2 linked regions of the Nothobranchius furzeri genome follow. The main gene of each other region encodes a partner of the protein of the gene in region 2 in a complex. Links are inferred from orthologs where the notes say so. Each region holds a gene or a part of one and is shown on either strand. Other genes may lie near its edges.

Region 1 (10,438 bases), on a different chromosome or scaffold from region 2:
TACAGAAACACCCTCAATTAACCATATTTGGTCACACCGTGTCTTCAGCTCATGAGAGGAATCCCTGCATTCCTCCCCAAAAATTTATAAACGTGGGCCAGAGGAGACATCCTGTCACTCTGCTGTCATTTACCGTTGACATCAAAGAGTTGTCTGCATGTTCGGTTTGGAAACCTTTGTTGTCCGAGTGCAGCCTCCTCTGAGCTGCCACTCAGTCTGGTTACCACGACGACACGCTGCGTATGACGGGGCAGCAGAGGAGGTTCTGGACGGGTTCTTCTCTTAGTTGTAAACAACTGAATGTGCTAGAGTCGGATGTGTGTGGTCTGTAACCACGACAGCTCCAGAAGGATCCCTTTCGGGGAGATCCGTGCGCTCACGGAGGACGCGCCGGAGTGCACATTCTGCCAAATCCTCAGATAACACAGATCAGCCATGCTCCTGTCAGTCACAGGTGTCTCTTACAGGTTTTGGCGCCAGTCGGGCGCGAAAAAACTGATTTTCCACCGCTAGAATTGTTTATTGGGTGAAATAATTCAGAGATGAGGAACATGTGTGGAGTTCTACCACTAGATGCTGCTCATACGCATGGACCAAGCCCCCACAATGCTGCTCTAAAATTTGAGTCCAACCCGGAAATACCAAAAATTGCAGTTCCACCCTCATCCACTAGGGGCTGGTGTCAGAAGCGAGCAAATCCTCATTGACTCCCATGTTAAAAATACCAATTTCACAGCAGAAATAAACATGTTCACAGCCTGGTACCAAAACATGTTTTTGGTTTAAATTATCTAGTTTACACTCATGACAACTCTGAGGGGGGTGAATTTTTTTCTCACTCTTCTGTTTAAGTGTATTAAAAGCCTAAAATTCTGTATAATTAATGAGCATCCGACCCACGTGACCACAGAGCTAGCTCCGTGGAAAGGCCTCAGTAGAGCCTCGGTCTGGCCTGGAAACTGTTCCAGGATTTTGAGTCTCTGTGTGTGTGTATTCTTTTTTGGATATTTTTTGTGCAATTGTTGGACAAAATGACTTGCTGTGGCATTAATTGCACTAATAGAGCATCCAAGGAGCCTGCACTTCATTTTTTTCGGTAAGTAAAATTATATTTATGTATTTTAGGTCACTGCCGAGCTGAGCTTAGATTTTAACACGTACTGTTTAACCATGAAATTTAAATGTAATAGGGTAAAACCCAGTGCATTTAACATAATGCTACACTTTAGAAAATGGGTTGAAATATAACATGTTGGTGGAGCTGGGTTCCCACTATCGGCTTGTGGAGCTCTCGGGAGACCGATGTTTTCCACCCGTTCTCCCCTCCCTGCAGCTCGGCGCATCTCGGTCTGCTGCGCGGACTGCCGGCTTTCGGCAGCTTTTGGGAGACCTCTGTGTTCCACCCGGTTTTACCCAGCGGTCAGTCCGGCGTATCTCTGACTCAGAAGCTCTGGTGTTGTGCACAGTTAACTCCGGTTGTAGCTAGGTTGCTACCTCCGTTAGCTTAGCTCCCACCTCCGCATTAGCTTCAGGTTAGCTTGTAGCTAGTTCGACCGGGTGTCGTCAGTTGATCCCAGCCTTACAGCCCCACCCTCAGCTCCACCTCTCTTTCCTTTTGTGGAATTGTCTGGGCTTGACGGAACCTGTGACACGGTCAAAATGGCGGTGGTGGCCACCTCCCATTTTGGCACAAAAGCGTGATATTGGAGCCTATGGAAAGGAGATGTCCACGTATATTTATGTCAAAGGCATGGACCGAGGTTTTCTTAGAATCAGGAACATTTCCAGCACAGGTACAGAACCATTAGTACATTTGCTCCTACTGTATACGTACAGAGATCGTGTTATTTTTTATCTTCTACTTTTCAGTTGTTAGATCAGGAATCTAATTTCGTTGACGATAATATTTTATTCTGGATATTTTAATTACAGATTAGTTTTATTTGGCAGCATTTTATTTTTCAGATTACCGACATCATTTCATATGGAACAAACCCGTCTCAACAGAAAACGACGTGTTTTAGATGCTGAATTCACGACATGCTGATTACTCTGTGAAATTATGTATTTGAATGTTTTAATTAAAATACACCAGCGTCAACTTCACCCGTACAAATCCAGCAGCTGATATTCAGCATGGCAGGTGGCCTGACCTCCTAGTGACCAAAGCACTCGTCACCTCGTTGAGCCGCGTGGCTTTTAGTCAATCGGGTTACGTCTCTCTGACCACGTGACGCCAGGAGGTGGCCTTTTTTTTAAATGGATGTAATGTTTGCAGGTGTATTGAGGTAAACAAACCCAATACAGAATGTCACACAAATAAAACATCATAAAGTCGTTTCTTCCATGATTTTACTACCTCTCTGAATCCGCTCTTTCCCGTTAGAGTGGGAGGAGCTACAGCTTTCTTGGTGCTCCTAACTCCTTGCTGCCTGTAATTGTTCGGTTTTACTTCCTCTCTTATAAAGCACGCTGCTTCACGCCTGACTGGAAAAAAGCTCTCGTTACCGCTGTTTTGCGCCGTTGCTCCGGTGGAGTGGAACGCATGACGACCACATTTATCCCCGCATCTCTGAGGATGACTTCGTTAATATCGTTTTCAAGGTTTGGAGTCTGGGGCTGAGGAGACCAAACAGGAAATAGCAGAAATCAAACACAGAAGTAAACCAAACACCTACCAGCGGCTGTGAGGAGACCGGGGCGAGACTCACCAGAGGATGCAGAGCGCCGTACTTCTCCATGGCATTCTTGAACGGTGTTGGGGTTCGTGGCGTTGTGCAGATCCCAGACTTGTGGTTCGGAGTAACAAACCTAAAATACACACAAAAATAAGGTCATGAGTGAAAATAAAAACACTGATCTGTTCCACAGCAAAGCAGCAGGGCCTCACATGGACAAGCACCATCATACATTGGTGATCTTCTCAGTCCCTACACCTCCAGCAGGTCCCTGAGGTCCAGTGATCAAAGCCTACTGGTTGTGCAGCACCAGGCTAAAGGTCAAAGGTGACAGATCATTTGCTGCTGTGGCCCCCAGACTCTGGAACTCTCTCCCCCTGAGCCTGAGATCAGTGGACTCAGCGGTCTCCTTTAAAAAGCAGCTGAAGACTCACCTGTTCAGGCTTTGGTCGGACCTTCATCACCCTCTCCTTGTTCCACCCGTTCCACCTTTCCCGGTTTCCACTGATTAGCTCTTATTCATTTCCTCATTTCTTTCCTTACATTTTTTATTTTTCTCATTTTTGTGATTTTTCAATCACTTTTAAAAATCTTTTTTATTTTAATTGAGACGATTTTTTATCTGGTGAGGCGCCGCGCTACAGAAAACATCTGTCCTCTCTTCTTTTTCACTCACATGGATTTTTCCTTCTGCGTGAGCGGCGTTTTGTCCCGCTGCAGCGGCGTGGTGACGACGACCTTCTGGCTGCACACGGGGGTGGACGTGAGGGACGGGTTCTCCAGGTCGTGCGTGTCCTGCTTGGTCCACATGTTCAGGAACTGAAAACAACAAGTCAGGTCGGCAGATTTTGTGCCTCTAAAAAACGACGTTTAGTAAAAGAGGAGATTAAACGGCCATTTTATTTATAAAGGCAGCAAACTCCAATCTTACAATAAAACGATTAACCAGTTGTCACGGCTTTGGGACAAACATCACTTCTGACATCTTTGTAATAACCAGCTTCATGCTAATAGGTCAGTAATTATGTGTGTGAGGCTTTAGCTGGGCAGTAGAATAAATACACACACATTTTCTGTACATCAGCATCGGCCCCATAAATAAAACTGGGCCGATATGAACAACCCATATTTTCCCCCCATCTTCTTTATGTTTAAGAGGGTGGGGTGTATTCGTTTAGTCATGTGACCGTGATTGTAATCATCTCTTCAGCTTTAATGTGTTCATTCTATGCAAAACCTGCTGATTTTAGAAGCACTGATGTCAGTATTTGGATATCGGCCCAAAAATGTCATATCGGTGCATTTATTTCTGTCCTGCTGCCATTAAGCCTCTTTTAGGCGAAGAACCGAAGAAGTTCAGTTGCCTTCATCAGACTACCATGACCCGGATGACGGAGACGTGTAACCAGCGTCGGTGCCGTCAGCATGGAGCTTTTCCTCACCTGTGACGGAGAAAAGGGCAGGATTTTGACAGGGGTGCTCTTTGGAGTCATGGACCGATTGACGTCTGGAGACAGGGCGATGCGTCTCCGGCTGCGGCGGGACAGAATGGAGGGAGGGGTGATTCCTCCGGGGGAGATGGGGATGAGTTCTCCCTTGCTGCACTTGCTCAGCTCCTGCAAGGCGCTGCCCTCCAGACGGAACTGGTGGCGCTCGGGGCTGGGGCTGTCCTCGGGCAAGTCGAAGGCTGCCAGGTTGCACCAGCCGTCCAAGTCCTCCACCAACAGGAGATATCGTTTTATTTACAAGTCTGGTATCCGCTAGATTTTACAAAGAGTCGACTAAATAGAATAGAATAGAATAGAATAGAATAATCCTTTAAAACAACACGGACAGAAAAAGGCACCACCTGGATTTAACTGCTGCACCGGTGATCATCTTTCTGCTGCAACTGGTTATTTAACTAAACCGGAGCAACGAGTTGCTTCTCATTTCTTATAATCAAATACGATTAAACTTTAGTTAGTTTCAGAGATGCGTTTGTTATTTTTCTGGTGAATTATGGGTATTTACCCCGTCTACCATGTCCAGCACTTCCTTCAGCACAGGGCCTGTAGGGTAGAGGAAACCAGAGCTGTCCACCACCCAGTTGGAACTGTTCGTCTCTCCTGTGGAGTCCACATCGGTCTTGGGGCTTGACACGTCCTTTAGAGAGGAGACAGCCCTGGACGACTCTGCTTCGTGGGAATTCTTAGCAGGAGCCGATGGTTCCTGTGACTTCTGTAAAAACATAAGGACTGATGGCTGATGCAACATTTAAGCTCATAGTTTTTAATAGATGCGATGATTTCTTACTAAAAGTCGGACTTTTGAATCCGTTTCTTTGTCCGAACCATCCTGAGAGCATCCAGCGACCTGTTGGTTCACCACAGACAAGATGTTCGAATCAGAAACACGTGAGACTGCTGCTGATGTAGGAGGCTTGGTGGAGGGAGACGACCCACCAGCACGTCTTTACTAACGCGCGCCAGCAGCTCCTCCAGCTCGTTTGCTCTGAAAACCTCGCTGGCGTAGAAGCCCATCTCCAGCTTTCGTTTTATAGTGGAGTTCCAGTGATTCTTCACAGCATTATCCGTCCTGTTAAACGATGTACAAGACCTTTCAGCAGAAGATTCAGCTTCAACCACAAATCAGTGCATCCTCCCACTTGTTTAGAAAACAGGAAGCAACATTTTCCGACCTTCCAGGAAGCAGCTTGGCGATCTCGGCCCAGCGGTTTCCAAGCAGACAGTGGGCCTTGTAGATGATCAGGTCCTCCTCAGCAGTCCACGATGACTTCTTCACGTTGGGGTTGAGGTGGTTGTGCCAGCGCTCCCTACACTGCTTTCCCAGTCTGCCCTTCAGGTGCTTGGCTACCATCGCCCACTGTTTGTTACCGTAGAGATTAACAAGCTCTATGACCTGGAAGAAAAACAAACAATTCAGTTGCATCTTTTTGACAATCTCAAGAAATATTCTACACTTGATCCACAACACGAAACGCAGCCCACCTTCTCATCCTCCTCTTTGGTCCAAGGACCTTTGACCAGTTCTGGATCCAAGACCTTCAACCAGCGGTGCTGACACTGGTGCTCGGTGTGAGTCTGAAGAATGCAAAGAGAGGCACGAACGAGCTAAAGGAGTGACTCGAAGACGGTAACACTAAAGACCAGAACAGCGGGACTCACTGGGATGCAGCTGGCAACACGTTTCCAATCATTCTGACCCAGTTTTAGAACCAGCACTTTAAGCTTCTCATCCTGTAAAGACAACCCAGTGTGTTCAGGTCTGCTGACCCACAACGACGTGATCTGGGACAAGTCAGCACACTCACCTCCTCCTGAGTCCACTTCACCTTCACCTTCCCTCCATCCCTGGGCTCGGCCACATCAGAATCAGTGTCCTGATGCATGGCCTCGTCTGCATCCTCGCTGAGAAACACATGTGCACAGCTGATTAATGAAGACACCAGGAGTTAGCCAGTGCCCGCCCTAAGGCCATACAGGCGGGGGGAGGCTAAACGAGCGGACTTGCGCGTTTTCATGGTTATATTATTTATAATTCACTAGCTACAACCAACAGTACTGCTGAGGGCAGGACAAGGATTCATTTGCTCAGACTTGTTGTTCGTGATTACAGCCCGGAAAAGGGCGGCAGTCGTGAGTCACAATTCCAACAATAAAACTCCTCCTAACGTGTTTCCCTTCCGCTAACTGCAGCTGCAAATGCATCTAAGCTAGGCAGTAACGTCCAGACATCAGTAGATTAACAAGTTCTGCTACTGTCAAAAACAACATCCGGCAACAACGATCGATCTCTTACCCGCGCGACCACGAAGACATTTCTCTGCTTCACTTGTTTACTTTGTCACACGGCGATATTCCCTCCTTCCGCCGCGCGCGCACAGAGGTGTTTACGTTGGAGTGGACCGTTGTCCCGGTGTGGTTCTGAGGGGCCGGCGCTGGAGGTTCTGTGTACCGACAGCAGCAGCCGCTGAGCGCCCATTCCGACCGCGCTTCTTATTTCTATCTCGCGCCCTTCACTCTCGTTCGACCAGAGCAGTGACGTAGATGCGCACCAGATCTGCGCGGTCGAACCAGTCAGGCGCAGGAAGATGTCAAACTTCCCACCAGACTTTCAAAATAAAAGAACGAGGAGCGTAGCAAGCTTTTGTTTATTCTAGAAATTTCACAATTTCTCTCGAAACTTCTTAACTCAAAAACAAGAAACACGTTTCTTCAATTGTCCTTTCTTCTGATTAATCCTAGTATATTTATTTATTTTATCCACTTAATGTAATTGGCTTGTAATCAATATATTTAGCCAAATATGTGATTTTCCTCTGGAGGTCAAATTAAAAGGCACTCCCTCTGTAAGTGTAAAAACAATATTGTGGTAAAATATAAACACTAAACTATTCCACTATGAAATCTAACATATGCTATACCTCTATTTCTTTCTCTAACTTGCCAGATAACCCTTTTATCAATGTGTCATGTTTAATTAAATGAGTCCTAAATACTCGCCATAACTTTATTTAAATATATTTACTTTGTGGTGAATTTGAGTAAAAGATCAGGGACAATAAGCTATGGAACCAATCGACAGAGGTGTCATTAGTATCAAATTGTTATAGATGTATATAAACTTGCATAAAACTGGACAGAAACCAAACAAAGACCTTTATTATGAAACTTTGAAAATAAATATAATTAATCACCAAGATATGAGACACAAAGAGCCTCTTGTGGCCCCAAGTTGCAGATTACTATGATCATGTGCTGTAAATTTGTCTTGTTTTCTTTTCAATAAAGATTTAAAAGCCATTCTAATCATTTTATAAATGAAACAGTATTTTTTAAAGCAGAACTGCAAACACACATCGGCCCAAACAGAAAACGTTTCCTCTGATCCCGACTGATGAGCAGCCTCCAGCTGGGCCAATTAACAAGCAGCTTCAACCATTTAAAGCCACCTGCTGCTGGCCAGGTGTTTGAAGACCAATGGACACCATGGACAAAGCTTTTGTTTTTAAAGGTAAGCATGCTGGTGATTTTGTTGCTACCTTTGATGAGAAGCTCACATTCTTAACTACTTATCTTTCTAGATCTGAAAAGCTTTGAGTGCTCATCTCCATCAGAGCTGGACAGGAAGTTCTTTGGAGAACAGGGTTTGCTGTCTGCTTTGTCTTTGGAGTACCTGTCCCTCTCCAGAGCATCAAATGAAGCTGTAGCGAACAGATCTGAGGGCAGAGTATCTATCCTGGCTTCCCTCTGTCTGTCAACGGATCTCCTTTCTCCTTGTCGGGGGTTTTCGTTTCTGGGCTCCGGCTCCAACACACAAGAGGCTGATGGCTGCACCCTGACCGTGCCCATGCAGGGGAAATTTTCCACGCCCATCGTGACCGTGCCGAATTCTAAACCCGCTGGGTTTTTTGACCGGTCTAATGGAGACCTCACGTCCTTGCAGATCTCTTGGGACGTGTCCGTGATTAAAGCTGAGAGCAACAGCCCCCGGTGCTTCGTGGATTCCAGCGTTCAGCAGCAGACGTGGAGTCCCAAACCCCAGAACCAGTCCCTGGCTGAGGTTTCACCCTGATGGGGCATCAGAATGATCTACTGTTGCATCCTTTAAGATGAAGTGGATGGATTATTTTTGAGTCATGCACCTAAAAACTATTCTAATAAATGAGGGTCTTTTAATTAATAATTTACTACAATAAAGATAGAAAACGTTGATTTGCAGATGCTTTCACTCCCAAGTCTTCTGAACGTTGACGGCAGCTTGCTAGGACCACATCCCGCTCGCGTTCGGACCGTAGACCAGGTCATGTTGACACCCGTTCCTCTGTCTCCATGTCGTGTTCCTGAAGGTGAGAAGTTAAACTTGAACCAGACTCGAAGCACCATGGCACCAGACTGACAGGCCACACCCACCTGGTTGAGTTTCTTAAACTCTACAACCTGAAAGAAGATATGTTCTAGTATGTGCTTGGCATCCCGCTGCTCTTTATCTAGTTTGGGAGTCACACCCAGAATTTCACCACATCTGCGAATGTAGAACTCCAGGTCGTCGTCTGTGCCTGTGGGGAGGGGGGGAGGGGAGTTGGCAATGGTACCGTCCTGCTTCCAGCTGAGGAAGCTGGTGAAAGGTCTTACAATTGTTGGTGAGTTGTGCGAGTCGGGCCTTCTCTGATGAGAAGGTTTCATCTAGATCAAACAAGTCCAGCATAGGAGGAGGCAAGTCGTTCAGGGCAGGAGGGAAAACCTAAAACGTAAAGGCGTTAAGACATTTTTCGGCCCCATTTTGGAGTTAATTCTTGTACAGCAGTCTAATCCTGTAATCTCACTGATCATGTGGTAAAAGCTCCTGTTCACAAAGAGTGTTAACATCCAACAGAACCGATGAGCTACGGGTTGGACCAACGTTTATTCTGACCTAAAAATGAGGAGCAAGGTTTGAGTCGTCTGAGAAAATTTGTCAGCTCAGATGCAACTTATGGAGTCCTGAAATGAAAAAGTAATTTCTAAAGGCTGCACTTCAGATGGGCCTGGAGTTCGTCTACTTGACATTTTGGTCAAATGACAAAACAAATCGGTGTTTGCAGCACATCCAGGACCGCTTCAGACGTCATCTGTTTTAATAACTGGCACGCTCTCTGTTCGCCTGATGGCGTCGGTGCAGGATCGGCTCGGGGTCCTTCGACTGCCGATGACGTCAACGTGGTTGATTGGCTGAACATGAAGCTTACGGAAGTTACGTTATCACGTTATGATTGTGATTGGTCAGAACAAATTTGCGGTTGCAGTCCTGTAGTGCAAAAATCAACAGTTTTTGGAGAAAATGTTTGAATTTCTAAATGAAATGTAAAATATAAGCAAATGATAAACGGTGACCCTCAAAAGCTCTTTATGTTGATGAAATGGGGCAAAATAAAATATAAGAACTTTTTTGAAAGACACCAAGCAATATTTAGAGTCAAAGAGTGTATTTAGATAACTAAGGAAATATACAGACAAACTCCACATTAATACAAACCGATATGGCTTCACATGTAAGAACTGTTCGAATGTCAGTCCAATGCTGGTTTTATGCAGTTTCACATTCTTTACAAAACAAAGATAATCTGGTGTTTTATTAACAAATTACAATTCTAAAGAAAACATTTAAGTGTTAACAAACAAGAATTTATTAAAACTGCTGATGTCTTTCCAAAACGTGTGTGAAAGCCGAGTAGATTTGCAGTAATGTGACGTCATCGGCAGTCGAAGGGACCCGAGCCGATCCTGTACCGACACCGGCAATGTCAATGAATGATCAGGTGATTGGCTGTGAAACATATTGGTGTGCTTTTATTTTGAAAACACGTTGGTGTTGGCTGTGCTCTGACCAGCTGCTGAGTGTTCAGGACTCCAGCTGCAAACTTTTATTCAATTTTACATGAAAATAAAAATACCTTAATATCCCTTTTAGACGTCTGCAAGGCCGGCAGTGCTTTTGGACATAGCGACGAGCAAAGGGTGCCTCTGCGGGTATTGTCTAACTAGACTGTGGGTGGACTGAGATTTCTACACGTTTTATTCTTCAATACTGTCACATAGTCTCACTGACCATTTACAGGTGGCACCTCAGTGAATCTGTTAGCCTGAGGAGGCACAGCTGAATAGGAGCTTGGCTAATGTGCGGCTCTATAGCCACCTGTTCTACAGGGCCTTATGTGGTTTTTGGACGTAAAAACTTACAGCCGGTTCAAGCGGAGGCAAAGGAGTCTCGAACTGTGG
Region 2 (10,206 bases):
GTGGAGGATAGAACACTTTAGGAGCGGGTTGTTAAAAAAACGATCGTGGCTTCATTCGCAATAAAAAGCAAGTTATGTTCAAGATAAACAGAAATCTGCGGCATCTCAGAGATCGCCCCATACCTCCTTCATGCTGCCATCACCTAAACTTTTATAAAAAAAGACACAATGGTGCCACATTACCACCACAGTCTGACCACCTATAAACAATCTAAGGGTCCCTGATGACGCCACGGGGGTTGTGGCAGAATGACGGCATTATTTTGTAAAAACCCAGACACCCTGCATAGATTTTTTTTTTTTTTTGCTGCTTGTATCCCTGCAAAATCCCATTAATCATCACATACTGGTGAAATACATCTCCGCATCCGACCCATCCCCGTGGGGAGCAGTGAGCTGCAGCAGTGGCTAGAGAACTCTTTGGTGGGTTAACCCCCCCCCCCCCCAATCCAACCCCTAAAAGCTGAGTGTCAAGCAGGGTGGCATTGGGTCCCAATTTTAAAGTCTTTGGTATGACCCGACCGGGATTTGAACCCTGATCTCCCAGTCCCAGGGCCGACACTACCACTAGGCCACTGAGAAGGTGAGAAGACGAGGATGGGAATGTAGATCGACTGATAAATCTATAGCTTGGGCTTCTGGCTCAGCTCTCTCCTCACCACGACAGACCGGTACAGCGCTTGCATCGCTGCAGATGCAGCACCAATCCGCCTATCGATCTCTCGTTCCATCTTTCCCTCACTCGTGAACAAGACAGATCATTTGTGAAAACTACAAACTAGCAGACACTTACTCTGTTTCTATAATTTCATTAGTGGAAAGGATTTTCTATAGACTTTTTTTAAACAAGTCATATAAAATGTTGCAGAATCATCAGTACATGTGAAACTGGTGATCTTACCAGTGACTTTTGTCCCTATGATGAGTGGCAGAGGAATTTCATCAGGAAGGTCTTTGCAATTTGACACATCTGACAGTTTCCTCTGCTGCAAAAGGCGCATTTTTTGCCGCTTCTGCCTCAGCGCGGTTCTCTCTTCAGCAAAGAAAGCCGATGAACACCTGGATGTGTCGACAGAACCAGAACTGTAACATCGACCGGCTTTGATCTGAGGCTTCAACATTCAGGTGAAACACACGGGGAACAACAAACGTAGAGACCACCGCGTACCGTCGAGGTTTTCCCATCAGCCTCCTGATGGTTCCCCACTCAACTCTGGTCAATTTTCTTGTTTTCAAATTGGGAAAAGACTCCTTGAGGCACAAGCAGAACTCATTGTCACCTTCAAACAAAGGTCTGGAAGAAAAAACAACAAATTTATTTTGAAAGTGCAATTAAACAAGACATTAACTCGTGAACTAAATTGTTTTGTACATCTAGGTTGACTTAAGTTACTATAAATGTACCTGGAGAATAAAACAGACCAACTCAAATATGTCTGTGTGTAAATGACCAACATCTTCCAAAGTGAGACGTTACCTGTCGATATTGGAATAGAACCATTCATAGATGCACCATTTGTGAGCTTTGGGTAGTTTAAGGAGGTTTCTCAATCTCAGCCCTATTTTCTGTGAAGCCTTCTTATCTGGTGTCATGATGTTTGAAAACTTCTGCAGAGACAAATGCAAGACAACCATCAATGCACATGCAGATACACAAGAGCCATGAGGCCATAAACACAAAAATCAATGATGCAATTAAAGGGAAACTATGTAGTTTTGGCTTGCTTTTAGCACCCCCTGGTGTCCAAAAGTGAAACTCTTCTCACTGTGCGTTAGTGATGAGATTTATGGCATTTCATGGCAGTCATTCTTTAGTCGGTCATTTACCTCAAAGAGCCGTTCAAAAGACTGGCTCCTTTGAATGAAGCGAAGCCATCAGAGCGTGTGTGTTTGTGTGTGATAAGAGCAACATGGTTGCAGCGGTGGAAGGGGGTTAAGCGAGCGCGCTTTGCCGACTTTCGGGGACGTTCGTTACCACAAGACAAGATGAACGGCTCTCTACAGTAGAGCTGAGGAAAATAATCAAATAATCGATGCATCGGGATGCGGACATAAACGATTCTGCGTCGTAGAAGAGTACGCCATAATCGATTATGGTGGAATGTAGTTTTGTTTTAACGGCAGCACCAGCGCAGCATCCAAATCTGTCAGTGAGCGTCCTCCACATTTACCAAGTGGTTCCGCCTTAATGTGGTACTGCAGGGCTGAACGCTAGAGTTGTAACCTGAGACCGAATCAGCCCAACCGGTTCTGTTGGAATTGGGCTGCGAATTATGTTAATTGAGCGGGTCGTCATGCGGCGCGCTCCGCTCGCTCGATCAACGACTGAGAGAGAGAGAGAGAGACACTGTCTGCTCACACAAGAGAGAGGATCGGAGGACGCTCCTCCAAACCGATGCTCCAAACACGCATAATTATTTTCATAATTTAATTATTGTTTCTCCTGGAAGCGCTCAGTCAGACCGAGTGTTGTGATGCTGGGAGATCCGGTCTTGGGGAGGGGGCGGGGTCAGTGATGGCGGCTGCAGCGTGGTCGTCTGTCTCTTTAATTTAGGGACACGGAGAAGTTAAAAGGAGAGCGAAATAGAAGATAGAAGTTCTTGTTCCACTTAATTCTTTTGTTTCATGAAGATAAAATGATGTTAAATTCAGCTTAAAGAGAAACTGGGAGGAAGCTTTGGTTCATTTTAAGTTACAGGAGATCTTGTCTTCTACCTGCTCCTCCAGAGACAGCATGGAGGGTTACATGGTGAGGGTCCCACAGGACAGCTTAGTGGAAAGGTTTGTAGTTAGCTGGTTAGTGAAGGAGATCCATCAGCTGGGTAATTTAATCCTAATCCAGCCCACAGCCTTCTGCTGGTGTTATTATCAGCAAGAATAAAACACACATCTTAAATATTATTGGAAGTGTATAATTAGTTTGATGTTTTATTATTTTCTGCATCAAACAGAACTTGATTCCTGCTCCAACATTTCAGAAATGAACCACTGGGTTCAAATAAAATAAACTAAGTCAAACATTTCATTTGGTGTCATTTCTGACAGACTTGAACTGCAGCATAAATATTTGACTCTAGAGCTGCTCAGAGACATTAAACACTCATTTATGAACCCATTATGGATTTTATTATTACATTATGTGTCCTGTAGGTTTTCAGTACTTTTTTAGATTTTGTGAGTTTTTGCAAAGCGTGTTTTTCTCAGCCTGAGGCGTGGTGTTGAACCAGGAAACAGATTGTTTTACTTTGTTAAATCTTCTTAAATGTTTAAAATGTTTCGTCCTTAACTGTTGTGAATGGAGAGCTTTTGGGGGACGGCAGGTTGTGTCAATTACGCTTTTGATAAAAAATAAAAAGCAATTATCTGACATCTTCAATTCATCGATGAAAACAAATCAATATGAAATAATCGTGACGCATCGGGATATCGAATCGAATTGAATCGAGAGACAAGTGAAGATTCACACCTCTACTCTACAGGAACTCGGCTCTCACTGTTCACTTTGAAAACGTGTTCAAAAGATTCGATTTGTTCATGAACGTCACATTACTACTGTGCGTTCATCTTTTTACAGCTTAATCTAATGCGTGAAACGTGTCCTCAGCCTTCATTAGTTTAAACAGAAGCGGTTCATCACTAAATCAAACAAATCAGCTGTGTTCAACATGCTGGAAGCAGACTGCAGCACTGGCATGTCAGCTCAACTTTACAAGGTCCAAAAGGGACCGGAAACTGAAGTTGCAAGTGTGATTTTCTGGCCATAGAGGCGGTGGGGTCTGAGTGACATTTTATTAACCCTGTAAAAGGTCATTTTAGCACATATCGGCTCAAGAAAATGATTTAAAAATATGAAGAAGTTGTAAAATATGCCTTTAAACAAACTATTTGGAATGAATGAACCAATGTTCCCAATAAAATCCACTAAAATGTTGCTTTAGAGGGCAGTATGTCAATATAATACTGCAGAACAGGTCAACCAAGTTCATCTCCTCTTCCTTGAATGCACCAACACCCCAAACTGTTTTGGTGCAACTACAAACAAATTTTATGATCATAAACGTCCCCAAAAGCAACCATTAAGTCATGATTAAATGTCACAAGTCAGCATTTTACACACACTTTAGAAAAGAAAAGCAGAAAGACCATCCTATGTATAACAACCTTATTGAGTGGAGTTCTATGGTCCTTACACCTTCGCCAAATAAACGTTACAGCAGTTTCAAAAGCTTAAGATTTTCCTGCATCTTACGTGCATGAACAGCACACACATGCACAGAACAACTCTTTCACTTCCTGGTTTTACAAAAAAAAAAGATACTCTTGAGTAATAATTTGTACTATCAAGCACTTTTAATGATTTTGAGACCCCGTGAAAACTTTGGCGTTTGTACCTGTGGTGTAGTGGAGACCCTTTGGCTCCTCCGAGGGGACCTGGAAGAGGGACGCTGCTGCGGCGATTCATCTTCCTCCCGAAACAAACGGCTTCTCTTAGAGCTCCTTGTAGGCTGAAGACACAAAAATTAAGTTTTCTCAGAAGAATCGATATTTTTTTTATAGAACTGTTTCTCGACAAATCTCAATTATGCCTCCAAAGTGTCTTCAAGAAAGTCCATTATTAATATTTATTCAAACTTTTTATGACAAATATACAAATCTTATGTAATTGTAGCTTTCCAAACAATAATAAATGCGTTTCTAGTTCATCTTAATTAGTCATGATAAAAGTGATCATCGTTTTACCACGTCCATTGTGACAGATGAATGGCGTCCTCTGGTGTTGTGAGCTCTAGTGAAACTGTTCTTCTCATTCAGAGTGTTAGACAAGCTGCCCTCTGTAAAAAGATGGATTTGTACAATAAATTGTGAACACAATCCACATAAATTTAATATGCTTTCTGACCAAGTTTGTGCTGTTTTTATTACTAGAAAGAAAGCACGAACTGCTGACTTTATTTTGTAAAAACATGCAGGCAGTGCAGGTCATAAGCTTGGTATTATGAGGGTAATACACAGCTTCATGTGTGTGAGGGGCTTAGGAATACTAACCACTTTTATCCAGGAGTTTAATACATATATGGCTCTGACCTAATCAACGTTCATGTTTTTAATGATAAAAACATAGTTTACGAAAAATCTAAATCCAGATCATTTTAACAGTACAAAGAGCAAATTAAAAATAAACAGACTAAGTACCTTTTAAACTGACCAGGGCCTCTGCAGAGGAGCCTAAGGAAGATGGGAAATTGTGCAACATCAGTATCAATTAGCATTATTAACAGCTAAAACAAATGTCATTTCATCAACAAATGTAGGAAATCAGATATCTCCATGTTTGAGTAAAATGCTAATATTACTTATGCTATCAAAGAACCAAAATGACGTTCGGATCGGTCAGATAGGTTGAGTTAGAGGCCTTTCCTCCCAAGTTTCAGCTGTCAAACACGGGTCGAAACATCAGCTTGACAGGCAACACCAGACATGGTGAAGCGAGCTGATGTTACCACGAACTGAAGGTCATATCTAATTACATTAAATTTATTTAGATCCGTTATTTCAGTGTAAAAAGCCAAACCAATAAATGATAACAACAATCGCGTAACCATGTAACAAGCGCTAACAAACCTTATGGTAAGAAAATACATTTCCAGGGAGAAAGATGAGGAAAACTAAGCCTGATTACTCAAACACAGAGTCATTAGCTGCGGTAGTCCTATTGTTATTGTAGCTCTATTTATAAGGTTAGCAGCGGTTAGCTCACAGCTAAGCTAACGGGATTCGTTTACCCAGTTGAGCTAAAGTAACTTCTTCAACTGCTGTATTAGCTATAGTTAGCTCGTGGTGCTAGCAAGCAGTAGACCGGTTTCTACATCCAAACGCGGCTTATAAAGTCAACCCAAAACCTACAATATTTGCCGTATGAACGGTGCTATCGGGTTTCCGCCTGCTGTTTATCTTTTTTATAATAGATTCGCTGCTTGTTCACACTGTAAAACTGACAGTATGGTGTGTTGTTACCCACTCTCGTCTAACAGCTGGTCCATCTCCGCCATCTTGAATTAGCCGCGCCGCTTTTCAAAGACTTTGTCAAAATGCATTCTGGGTTAGAATCCGTCTGGAGGGCGATTTGAGACAAAAAATAAACAAACTGATACAACCACCGGCGCTAAGTCACTTTGTGTCACTCTGACTCATAAACTGTAAAGTATATTTTATATAAGTACAATATTTTTGTTGAAACTTGGTACAGGAATGCAAGAAAAAAGATGGGTGTGGATAACAAACCTTGACTCCACTTAGACGTACTGGAAATGTCCTTTGTCGGATTTAAGAATTCAGACACAAAGTTAACACGTTATTTAATGTTTTACGTTACCTCTACAATAACTAAATTAGCCTATGAGCTGTACTTTAAATATTAAATGCTTTAAGTCTATCAGGTAGTCTCGTGATCACGTTGTTGCTAAACTCATTTTTATCTCGTTAGTATATTATATGCATTTTTTTATTTCACGGTTTTTACATCTTAAACCAAATCAAATTCAAGCACTTTCAAGGTGAAATCAAAGGTTTTCCACCATAAATATTAATTCAACTGAACATGTATGCTTAAAACGCGGCTGTAACCAACTTTATTTAGCTAAAAACCAAAAATGTTAAAGCAGTTGAAACACTTTTAAGAACACGAAGCATTAAGGACATGACCTTTGACCTCCCATAAGATCATTTACTTTCAACATGTTTACAAATGGTAAATAAATGCATTATAGGCTGATTTCCATTCAGAGTAAAACAAAAACATAAAGACAAAAGTCTTTACATGTCCCGTGCTTTATTGTGATTTATGGAACAAAAATTAACACAATTTTCATACAAAAAGTTGTGGAAGACGGCTTGAGACAGAAACAACTAAACAAATATGTACATGTCAGACCTTATACAGTATCATCAAGGCTACTTCAGAAAACAGCCATTGAAATAATTCTGGTCTCAACTCAAAACCCCTTGCAGACACTCTGTAACACTTTAGACGTAAGCTTATCAACAGATTTTCATGAACTGATCAAATTAAAAGAATGAAATCGTTAACCATCATCGTCTGAGGCTTCCTGTATTTTCTACAACCGTCCTGTTGTGATTTCAGTTTTACAAAGTTAACGTGATCCTAATGAAGGCTGCCTGCTACAGAACCATGAAATAGCTGTAAAGTGGTATAATATTCCAGGCATTTGGATGCAGAAGTGGTGTTTTTCTTCAAACGTTGCCTTTTTTCTACCACAGGGATGTCTGGTAATTAAACTTGATCTTCAAGAGATACTTCATGTTTACCTGTGCCACATCATAAACAATGTACCTGGAGGAGCAGTGGTTAAGGAAAACAGAAAACAGGATTGAACGCAAAGGAATAAAAATAAAGTGCATGTGTGACGAGTGAAATAAAGCTACAATAAAGACAACAACAATGTTTGTTATCAATCTATGAGTGATTTATAAATACTTTCAGATCAGATTGCTGTAAAACGTTCCCAATAAGAAATAACTGGATGAATCTCAAAGGATACTCGTTGTACAGTAGACTTGTGTCATCGATGTTAGTGTGGACGCCTTTTCCCAGAGGCACATGCACGCCATTCAAATTGACAGTAGCATTTGGATCAGGAGCAGTTCGACCCAAACCTGGATAGAAAAAAAGGTTAAAGGGAGACTAGTCAGTTTTGACTTGCTTTTAGCACCCTCTAGTGTCAGTTTAGTAGAACCGAAAGCAAAACGTATGCCCTCCCTGTGCATTGGTCTTTTTAACATCTTAATTTAACAGCTGAAATGTCTCCTCAGCCTCCATTAGTGTCTACAGGAGTGATTCATCACTAAATCAAACAAATCAGCTGTGTTCATTATCTAAAACATACAGGAAATGTGCTGGAAGCAGACTGCAGCGCCAGGTATGTCAGCTGAACTTTTTTCTAAGCCCAACAGACCGGACCGGTACTCTGAAGTTGCAAATGCAGTATTTTGCCCACAGAGGGTGGTGAGGGTCTGAGTGACATTTCATTAACCCTATAAAGGGTCATTTTAGCACCTACTGGCTCAAGAAAACAAATTTAAAATATGAAAAAGTTGCAAAGTATCTTTTAAAAATGCCCTAAAAAATCAACCATAAGACATAAATTCTGACCAAAATTAGCACCATCTATAAAATATTTCCAGTTACCTCTACGCAAATGTTAGTTTTCCATAAAGGCAACAAAAAAGCAAGTAATAATTATTGAACCAGGTGTTTATCTTCAGGTTTCTGACCTTTAACACTTTGTTTGCCCTTTGGTAACTTTGTAATATGAGAGGCCTTCTTCAGCTCATGCCTGCATTAAAATAATAAAAAGAAATCTTTATTTACACAGAGATAAAATCATTTCAAATGGCATTTATTATAAGCTACGACCATCACTTACATGTTTCCCAGGGCAACCTCTGCCAGCAGTATGAGGCCTACAGGGTCCGACTGCGAGGTGTGACAGTAGTTGGCACTCTTGGACACCATATCAGCAAAGTAAACACCTTTGCCAAACATGTAGCCAGTCTAGAGAGATGAGAACAGGAAGCTTGTGAGGCAACGAAATGTGAAGATAAAAGAAAATATTACAAACTAGGATTTATGCTTCTACAAATGTACAAACGCACCACAGGAGCTTCTGGAGGGGCAATACGAAGACCCTGAGACAGGATTCCTGCGTAATTCGTGGTGCGAGAGCCGTGCCACAATAGCTGTCGGTTGTGTAGCTCCTCGAATGGACGGTAGCGTTGGTGCTCTCCTTCACGAACTATTTTAAAGATCTTATAAAAAAGATTTAATGGAAAGAAGGAAAAGAAATGTTTTTGTAACTCATACTCATCAGAAATTATTATAACTTTGATATTATCATCTATAATCATACATTAATAACAACATTTATATTATTTACTGAATAATAACTTACTTCTTGCACTTCCAGCGTGTACGTGTTGTGCGTAGCGGCATGCGTGTTCTTAACGTACTGCATAATGATCTCTGCTTCCTGTGTGGTTTTGTCAACAACCTGTGAAATTTTAAACATATTACAAAAAATGCTTCCACACAAAAACACGTTAGCTACGTTCATCCAAGAGTTAACGTCCTTTACCTCCATTTTGGTTTTGAGTTTCTCATAGTTGATGTCGATGGGGTCGCGCTCGTTGTCCTGAGCTCCTCCTCTCAACAGGCTGTAGGCCACCTCGATGTCCAACAGGTTGTCCAGCATCTCCACTTTAGCCTGGACAGGGACGCGTGGGACAGATTTTCAAGCCCAGAGCTGGTGTTGTAGAGAGGGTTAGAACATGCGTACCTGAACGTAATCCAGGTTGTTAAGGAGGGGGGGCTTCTTCATGCCGAAGTCGTGAGGTATTAGCGTGTAGAAGCGATTGGACAGATCCAGGATCTGTGCCTCTGGGACGCAGTCCGACACGGCCTAGTGACCAGCAGAGAGGTCAGACTCATTCATTTCATCCCGATTCAAACAGAATTAATGTTACCGTTATTGACTGACCTGCTGCACGTCCGTCAGGAGAGCGTAGGCACTCTGGATTTGTCTTTTACTCAGCTTACCCAGAGGCATCTTCTGGAGGTCGATCTGGGAAATAAAAAAAATTAAAAAAAGGAAAAACCGGCTCGTTAAATGTCAAAACTTTTCACAAGATGCATGATGCGCAACAATGAGATCTGTCACTTTGCTGTTGATTATGAAAACAGACTCAGTAGGGCCACTTTCTGAACGCTGCGGATGAAGCTGCTTTTTAATCCCAGACCCATTAAAACAGACATAGAAAGAAATGTTAGACAGGTCTTACTTCAAACTCCACCATGGCTTTTTTCATGCTTTCAACATCAAAGATCATCTTGATCAGTTCCTGAACGGGTTTGGCCAGTTTGGACTTGGTGCCAGCAGTGGCTGTCAGCTGCTTCACCGCCTCCTCGTCCTAAAAAAGTCCAACTCGGTCACAAAACATCAAACACCTGTCTGAGGTTGTCCCCTGGTGTGTGTGTGTGTGTGTACCTGTCCATAGTCGATCTCCAGCGGGTAAAACTTATTAGGATATTTAGTGAAGTTGGAGGCACTCCAGTTATTTCCTGTTTTTTCCTTGTAAAGGCCGAGGAAATTATCCATCGCTGAGATTTTATCCTGGAATTTGTCCAGCTTG

What was found. The genes of interacting proteins can lie anywhere in the genome.
Region 1: the proteins of lin9 (region 2) and mybl2b are in contact, whole or in part, in a crystal structure (PDB 6C48), measured with the Homo sapiens proteins. The link is inferred for Nothobranchius furzeri from reciprocal best matches to the Homo sapiens genes LIN9 and MYBL2. Residues at the interface, in NP_001353174.1 of Homo sapiens: Lys356, Gln385, Arg386, Tyr388, Ala389, Thr390, Val392, Leu393, Leu395, Glu396, Asn399, Leu402, Asn403, Leu406; in NP_002457.1 of Homo sapiens: Trp663, Ala667, Cys668, Gly669, Gln674, Met677, Gln678, Ala681, Arg682, Leu684, Leu685, Arg687.

The regions. Positions count from the first base shown.
Region 1 is NC_091743.1:41,534,217-41,544,654, reverse strand, and holds the start of mybl2b (v-myb avian myeloblastosis viral oncogene homolog-like 2b), read right to left. Parts: upstream 6,684-10,438; 5' UTR 6,500-6,683; coding exon 6,480-6,499; intron 6,089-6,479; coding exon 5,992-6,088; intron 5,918-5,991; coding exon 5,846-5,917; intron 5,762-5,845; coding exon 5,669-5,761; intron 5,580-5,668; coding exon 5,359-5,579; intron 5,256-5,358; coding exon 5,123-5,255; intron 5,034-5,122; coding exon 4,974-5,033; intron 4,899-4,973; coding exon 4,692-4,898; intron 4,394-4,691; coding exon 4,121-4,393; intron 3,498-4,120; coding exon 3,355-3,497; intron 2,812-3,354; coding exon 2,712-2,811; intron 2,620-2,711; coding exon 2,509-2,619; intron 1-2,508. Other genes in the region: uncharacterized protein, read left to right, coding at 7,661-7,694, 7,765-8,255; ift52 (intraflagellar transport protein 52 homolog), read right to left, coding at 8,360-8,739, 8,816-8,924, 10,400-10,438. UniProt on the Homo sapiens protein: Transcription factor involved in the regulation of cell survival, proliferation, and differentiation. Transactivates the expression of the CLU gene.
Region 2 is NC_091742.1:4,988,571-4,998,776, reverse strand, and holds the start of lin9 (protein lin-9 homolog), read right to left. Parts: upstream 6,117-10,206; 5' UTR 6,051-6,116; coding exon 6,020-6,050; exon of another isoform or gene 6,016-6,019; intron 5,688-6,015; exon of another isoform or gene 5,623-5,687; intron 5,227-5,622; coding exon 5,194-5,226; intron 4,833-5,193; coding exon 4,741-4,832; intron 4,506-4,740; coding exon 4,392-4,505; intron 1,609-4,391; coding exon 1,478-1,608; intron 1,295-1,477; coding exon 1,169-1,294; intron 1,060-1,168; coding exon 902-1,059; intron 1-901. Other genes in the region: parp1 (poly [ADP-ribose] polymerase 1), read right to left, coding at 7,270-7,351, 7,560-7,674, 8,293-8,354, 8,445-8,572, 8,674-8,826, 8,970-9,068, 9,153-9,281, 9,354-9,476 and 3 more. UniProt on the Homo sapiens protein: Acts as a tumor suppressor. Inhibits DNA synthesis. Its ability to inhibit oncogenic transformation is mediated through its association with RB1. Plays a role in the expression of genes required for the G1/S transition.